2 linked regions of the Daphnia pulex genome follow. The protein of the gene in region 1 interacts with the protein of each later gene in a pairwise test. Links are inferred from orthologs where the notes say so. Each region holds a gene or a part of one and is shown on either strand. Other genes may lie near its edges.

Region 1 (3,928 bases):
AAAACAGTACTGATCTGTAAAATCTCTAAATCCATCCAGAAGGGAACAAGAATATATAATAGCAAGGTATAGTAGCCTATCCAGAAAATTCAGATTGTGGAATATGATTAAGTAATAGCGGTAGATAATACCCAGAAAACTGCATTGGTATTAGGTAAGGATATGCATTTTTTCCTGTGTACAAAGGATAATTAGGTTATAGGCGACTGGGACCTTGAAGGAGCTTGGCGTACCGGGTACGACCGGGTACGTGGTTACAGATGAACGGTTTTCCCCTAAAAGTCCCCCCTCCCTTCTCCGTATTTGGGTTAGTTAACTCTATATATTGTTGGCTCTCTACTCTACCTGGAAGAGTAGGGGAATAAATTACTGAAAATAAAGTTACAAGCAACGAAAATTCAATAAATTGCTAATAGCAACTTATCTTCCACTCGTTTCACGTAACCCACAGAGAATTATCAGCTAACAATATGGACTTCTTTAGACCTACGAGTATTTAACTATTTATACCCAACATTGAAGATCGAGGAAATCGCTGAAAAATGCTCACAACAGAAATACATTCAAATTTGTATCCGACTGTTTCGACGTTATATTCGACCCAACTGAATTAAAAAAAAAGAGATCTGCTATTCGTGTACCTTATTTACAACAGTTTGACATTTTTTTAGGGGGGGGGGGAAACAGAACTAGGAAATGCAACGACTTAGCTGGTCCAACAATTCTCCCTCAACTCGAGGTAAATGTGAGACAGACTTCCAGAGTTAGTTACCCAACCATATTTTCCACGAGGTTAAATCTATTCCATAAAAGGTTTTCTGTGTGTCCGACAGACCGACACTACGATAAACAATGTGAACTCGACTCATGTCTCATGTTATTGCTAGACAATTTTTCTTTTTTTAAGCAGTTGTTTGTATTTTACGGTAGATGTCGGGTCACAGCTTTTAAAGTTGACCGCTAGATCCTTCTATGCTCAGTTCAGTTTACTCAGGCTAAACTGTGTTAGTGTTGTGGAAACTGGAAACCGTAGTCCTTTATTCTCTCGAATCAGCTGGTCATACAAATGACAAGGCAAGATTTGTGATACTTTGAGCACTGTGTTTATGTCCATCATGAGTGAACTAACTCAAGAAGAGGTAGAATTATCTGAAATTAATAAAAAAGGTTGTCAAATTGTAGCTTATTACACGAAATTCATTTATACAGATACGCCAGCGAAGGTTGGCCCGCCTTGCAGTGATGTCCACTGGAGTTGCTCCAATGAGCAACCCTAGTTTGTCTTCAGCCTCAACTTCATCACAACCAAGCAATGCTATTTTCATGGAAAATGTGTCAATGCTATACACTCCCTCCACTCCTGTTAAAAATTATCCAATGGATATTGATGGTACAACTCCACGAAAAATTGAAGCTATGGACATGGACGGTGCAACACCACGCAAGATTGAAGCCATGGACACTGATGAACCAGCTACCGGAACTCCATCTAAAGTCCAATCCAATGCTGATACTTTGTGTACTGAGGACTTCCTTAACACAACTGTTGCAAAAATTCTTTGTGTGTCACGAAAACCAGAGAAGAGTTGTATTGTTTTATCTGCCATCTGGCCAAACAATCCTCTTGTGACAAGTGTAAGCTTTGTGAACAATCACTATATTTTGGAGACAGTTGGCGACATGATAATGGAATCCTTAGATATTATAATGTATTCTCTGGATAAGCCAAACCAGTTATTTCAAGAAGGCTCTGAAAGCAACTGTCTTCAGTATTTGATTGACTGTTATACAAGGATGGAAGAACATATGAAGAAATATTCCAAGAAGTGCAGTATTTCATCAGTAAAGGAGCTCCTGGTGAAAATCAAGACTGAATTGTGTGCTGCTCTTGCCCTATTATTAGAAGGTTTTCTAACAGAGCCAATCAAGAAGGATTATTACAACATCCTGTATGAACACCTGAAGAGACACAGTTTACCATCTGAATTTTTCTATGAATTGGTTCATCATCTTGAGTCAGATTATGTCCGGTTTACCAAAATATTCTCACCATTACTTCTAGTTATACGGAAGGAATCTCAACAGAGCTCAGTCTCCGATAGCTCGCATACCGCAGCCCTACAAGTCCTCTCGGATTTGTGCGAGTGTCGAACAGGCGTCAACTCCTCTACTCGTCCGTTTTGTAATCTCATGATTAAGATGGGGAATTGGCTTGTAGAGCCACTTACAGAGGCAACGGGTCGTGAGTTTGCGAAGTTTACTTTCCTTGGGCCGTTCCTGTGTACATCACTTTTCGCAGAAGATGACGTACGAATCGCCGATAAACTGAAAACTACCGGGAATGAATCACGACCAATCGTTTCTAGCCTTCAACAAGAGGTGGAATTGACACGCAATCTTCTTCACAAGGTAAATTTTTGTCTTCATTAGTTAAGACACTGGTGAGTGGTGACGTATTTTGATTTCTTTCTTCTTTTAGGTGTTTTATGCGCTTTTGGCAAACAGTGGATCGCGTGAGGCCACATTACAGTGGATCGCAGTTGCACTCAAACGAAACGAAAAGCGTTCAATGATCAATGTTGAATCGCGACTTGTTGCTGGTGACGGATTTTTTCTCAATCTTGCTGCTGTTATGCATCAGCTCTCACTCAAAATCAAGCTTGACAAAGTGGATGTATTTTATCCGTTCCACCCACAGAGTCGTATTAGCAATAGTGTGGCCAATGAAACCAAAATTAGAGTGAATTCACAAGAAAGCCAGCAGTGGGTCGAGCAACTGAATCAGCCAGATTCTGGACACATTTGGCAGGAGTGTAAATTCCCTACTGAATGTTGGTTTATGACACTGCATGCCCAGCATTTAGCATATTTGCCGGCCGCAAGACGACATCAGCGGAGGATGCGTGCTCTTAAAGACTATCAAAAACTCGTTGACGAAATGCAAAATTCAGAAGCAGAATGGAGTCAAACTCCAGCAGCCCGCCGAAATAGGGAGCTTATTGCTATGTGGCAAGAACAGGTTGGTCAAAAATGTTTGATTTTCGATTGCCAACACTTAATTAATTTTTTAAATTTGTAATTACTAGGTGAAAAAGCTTTTATTAAGCAAACCTTGCGCCGAAGCTGCGTTGATGGACGAAAAACTCATCAGCAATTACATGCATTTTAACAGCATGGCCGCAGAATTGGAAATGCAGACCCTTTGTCCAGAAATTATGTTTCCCACGAATAACTTTACTCTTCCATCTAAAGCTACACCTCTTTTTGCAAACTACCCAGAGTGGTAATATAAAAAATTTCATCCGGGTTTTTCTCAAAATGAAAGCTATTTTTATAGTATGCTAATTCTTTTATCTATTCCTGTAGGTACGTCGAAGATATAGCCGAATTTCTTTTACTTGCCCTGCAGCACATGCCTCAGATTGTTGCTCGTACGGTGGATCAGATGGTGATGACCTGGTTGCTCACGCTGGTCTGTTCAGCTCATTGTTTCAACAATCCTTATCTGGTGGCTAAGTTAGTTGAAGTGCTCTTCATGATGAATCCGTCAGTCCAGGTATACGAAATTTTACTTTTAACTATTTCCTTGTTATTCTTATTTCTTTATCCCTTTAGCCTCGTACGGAAACGTTACATGAGCGATTGCTGACTCATAAAATTTCGCAATCAGCGTTACCCCCTTCTCTGATGAAGTTCTACGCAGATGTTGAGTCCACCGGAGCAGCATCAGAGTTTTATGACAAATTTACAATCCGATTTCACATCAGCATTATACTCAAGGTTTATCATACTTTTCTTTTCTGGAAAAATAGATTGGATTTATTTATTTATTTTTACAGAGTTTGTGGCAAAGTCCGATCCACCGAGAAACTGTTATACAGGAACTCAAATCAGGCAAACAGTTTGTCAAATTTATCAATATGCTGAT
Region 2 (3,840 bases), on another chromosome or scaffold:
AATTGGATTGTTTGTCCTTTTAGCATATCGTGACAAGCTTCTCTGTGTTCAGGTACACAGCATGAAGTTGTCACGGTTTCTTTTTCAGCTTGGAGATAGGTCAAATTGTAAAAGGCGTGAATTCCGCAGCAATTTAGCTTGCTTCGGATTTCATCCACACGAATTTTTGAAGTTTTATTGTGGTGATAATTAGAAATGTTTTCCTTCAGAGAATTTTCGGTTATTTTGGAAAAGCGAAGAACCATTATTCCTCCCACAATTACGAATCCAAGATTTAGTAATACGAAAACCAGGTACTGAAGGCGAGCAGTGCGATGCAATCATTCATCGTAGCGAAATATTCCATTTAGTCAAAGGAGAAAGAAAATTACTCTAAAATCTTTTTTTGTTTTTTTTTTTTTATACAAACACGAGCTTACGCAAGATATCAGGCATTTTTTCTCGCCAAAGGCACCACACATCCCGAATAGGCTAAGAAATATGAGTAGACCGCTGACGGCAATTGCAACCACGATGTTCATAACCATATATTTGTCGTTTACCACCAAAAATTTCTGTTTGTCTGATCCTTTTGCAAATTCTTGACGTTGTACAAGTGACGACGCCGACAAGGAGATTAATACAATGCCGCTCAACTGCATTTCAAAGAATATGTCAGTATCATATTTTATGAAAAGCAATAACAAACCCAGTCTTCCAAACGCAACATTTAATTCGATAATTTCAACCATCTTCAGTTAAATTCTTTAGTAAACTCACGTTGGAATAATATAACTGTTAATATTTTAACAAATCTACAATTACATTGTAATAGAATAATATGTTTACCAGGATTAACAAGTTGAGGCACAAAAAACTCCATCGTAAAATCTTGTGGGAACGGAACGTAACCTCGTCCGTCATTTCCCTTTGACTGTTTTTCCAGTTACTATTTCAAATCGGAATGAAAGCCCGTGTGATAAGGAAACTTACTGTACCACTAACAGGAAACCCAAAATCCGAGTAAAAGAAAATACATTTGCAAACAAGCAATACAGCCGGAACCCAAACGGTATAAAAAAGTGACGTCTATCATTAATATCGTAATCCATAAAACCACGTTGACTCCACCAGTTGGTCTCACGCTTCGAAGTTTTAACTCCTGAGATGGTCACACGATTAAATAAGTAAATAACCAGAATAACCACTGCGGATCGCCTACTGTTCTCTAGGTTAAAGCCCAGCAGTGCGCAGTCAAAATTGTACGCGCGTGTATCCAGGTCGGATGTATATCACTCCAAATAACCTTTTCTTTTGCTTATTTCAATAAATTCTCTGCTTTAACAGCTCTAATTAATTTTCTTATCCTAATTTTCAAATTAGATAGGAATCGTTATGGCGTCTACTGCGCGTATTCATCATAGATTAAAATCTATTTTTATTGGATGGTAGATGGCGGTGAAAAGGTCTTTCCACAATCCGCACTTTACTTTACTTTCATCCGCATTTTATAGTTTATTTATTAAAAGCGTTTTTGTTGTTTTCCGCTTTAGTGTCAGAATATCTGACGTTAATTGGAATTGTGCAATTACGTTTTCGTATCTATTTTATGTGATAGTGTTGCTTTTTTAAATTCTTTCTCGATCCTACAGCACCCAATAGTTTCTTTTTTAGAGAAGAAAATGAGTGACAGAGAACACAAAGATCAGGGGAATAAGTTGTTTTTAGCTCGACGTTTCGATGAAGCAATTTCATGCTATTCCAAAGCCATTGTAAATTTCTTTAATTAAATTAAGCATAAATTATTTTGTTTTGCAACGCGTAAATCAAAGTAATTGTAATTGTTTTCTTTAGCTTAAAAATGGTTCTGTTCCACAATACTACACAAATAGAGCTCTCTGCTCTCTCAAGCTTGGCCGTTGGGATGCAGTAGTGCAAGATTGCAAAAGTGCTTTAGAGTTAGACAACACTTGGGTGAAAGGTTTTTAGTATAAATTCTTCAAAATACTCTGAAAATGCTATATATTGCTATTATGTTTAGGGCATTTCTTTCTGGGCCAAGCTTTAATGGAAAAAGAATGCTATGAGGAAGCAATAAAACATCTTCAAAGGGGTACTCATTTCCCCAACTTAACATAAATTTTGAACACATAAAATCTGATTATTGAAATTTGCTTGTTATTAGCCCGTGATCTTTCGATGGATCAGAAACTTAATTTTGGGGATGATATTACCAGTCAGTTAAGACTGGCAAAGAAGCATCATTTTACAAAGCAGGAGGAGAAAAGAATTTCACAAGAAATCGAACTACAGGTAGTCTGTTAATAACATTCTCTTTGTCCACTCCACTTTGCAAAAAATTATGATTCATTTGAAACTTGGATTTTATTTTGATAGATGTATATAAATAGGCTCATTCGAGAGGATCGAGATCGACAAATCGATTTGGTTAGTCAAGACAAAGAATACAGTTCAGTGGAAAACGAAATTTCGAACATAGAGAACGTCACCGTGAGCATATCTAGAGTATTTTTCTTGTTTCGTTAGTAGACTAATAATACTTGATTAAAATCGGTAGGATCGCTACCTGGCTGAATTGAATGACCTTTTCGCAACCGTCGATGACCGAAGAATGGTACTATAAATTATTCAACTGTGTGTTTCAGTACGTCTTATACCATTAAGAAATTGTCTTTGTAATTGTGTCGGTTAGAAACGTGAAGTTCCAGACTATTTATGTGGCAAAATCTCTTTCGAGATCATGAGAGATCCAGTCATCACTCCTTCAGGAATAACCTACGATAGGAAAGACATCGAAGAACATTTGCAGGTAAGTGAATTCAAAATTGCCTAGTAGATATTAGCCAAAAGATTTGTTTTTACGCAGCGAGTTGGACATTTTGACCCTGTGACGCGAGTTAAATTGACCAAAGACCAATTGATTCCAAATTTCTCCATGAAAGAAGTTGTCGACTCGTACCTGACCGAAAACGAATGGGCTCAGCACTACTAACCACTTTTTTAAGGATCATTCATTGATTTTGATTCTCTTAAAAACTCCGCCGCATTGTATTAAATGAAATCGATATATATTATGATTTGAATCGCCGAGCCCCAGTTGTGATGTTTCCTATCGGGTTGGATGATAATCAGGAAGTAAATGTTGCTATACAGTCTTTCGCTATTGATTGCACATTGCTGTTGTACTTCAATAGACGATGCTGGAAATTTTATATATACCTGATTATGAACCTCCTATTAAATTTGATTTTATTGGGATCAGAGTTCGCCTTGAGCAGATTCTACACCTGTAGGATTGCTCCAATCTTTCAATAGGTTATATTCTTTAGACTAAATTATCGTCTCCTCTGACAATTGTTTGTGGGTGATTGATTTTATTACTTTAGCCAAAGGCAATTGATGATTTGCAGCCGAACTCTATTGGTACGTTTCCTTTCATTAAGCACTTAATTGAGCTTGGCGTGGTTCGTTGTGGATGTGGCCAAGGACAATTGTATCAGAGTTGGTTAAGTTGGTCATTAATCAGGGGGGTCGACTTGAACGGACGGTACTATCGATCCTGGTACAGCACGGGACTGGACCGATATTCACTTAAATTATAATAAACGTCCCATGGGTAAATTGTGTTTGCCACGTCGTCAACTACAGTTATTATCTTATCAGCACTCTAGAGAGAAGTCTGTTGTGTATCTTGCAGTGTGCATACAAGGGCGGAAACGTTACTGTTCCTGTTCCTAGGTCTCAAGTTGAAGTTTTTCAATTTAATGCATAGCCTAGCACTTGTTGTTGCATCGATTTCTTAACTTTTTTTTTCCCCCTCTTCGCGCTTCGACTGTCCTA

The links.
Region 2: the proteins of ubiquitin conjugation factor E4 B-like (region 1) and E3 ubiquitin-protein ligase CHIP-like interact in a two-hybrid assay, tested with the Caenorhabditis elegans proteins (2 studies listed by BioGRID). The link is inferred for Daphnia pulex from reciprocal best matches to the Caenorhabditis elegans genes ufd-2 and chn-1.

Annotation. Positions count from the first base shown.
Region 1 is NC_060017.1:3,665,375-3,669,302, reverse strand, and holds the start of ubiquitin conjugation factor E4 B-like, read left to right. Parts: upstream 1-988; 5' UTR 989-1,106; coding exon 1,107-1,139; intron 1,140-1,209; coding exon 1,210-2,409; intron 2,410-2,479; coding exon 2,480-3,019; intron 3,020-3,086; coding exon 3,087-3,283; intron 3,284-3,366; coding exon 3,367-3,556; intron 3,557-3,615; coding exon 3,616-3,780; intron 3,781-3,839; coding exon 3,840-3,928. UniProt on the Caenorhabditis elegans protein: Acts as an E4 ubiquitin ligase mediating the assembly of polyubiquitin chains on substrates ubiquitinated by another E3 ubiquitin ligase. The elongation of preexisting ubiquitin chains preferentially targets ubiquitin 'Lys-29' and 'Lys-48' residues.
Region 2 is NC_060019.1:9,014,782-9,018,621, reverse strand, and holds E3 ubiquitin-protein ligase CHIP-like, read left to right. Parts: upstream 1-1,465; 5' UTR 1,466-1,661; coding exon 1,662-1,751; intron 1,752-1,833; coding exon 1,834-1,960; intron 1,961-2,020; coding exon 2,021-2,092; intron 2,093-2,164; coding exon 2,165-2,292; intron 2,293-2,376; coding exon 2,377-2,490; intron 2,491-2,557; coding exon 2,558-2,614; intron 2,615-2,692; coding exon 2,693-2,809; intron 2,810-2,866; coding exon 2,867-2,992; 3' UTR 2,993-3,212; downstream 3,213-3,840. Other genes in the region: CD82 antigen-like, read right to left, coding at 1-296, 420-635, 829-903.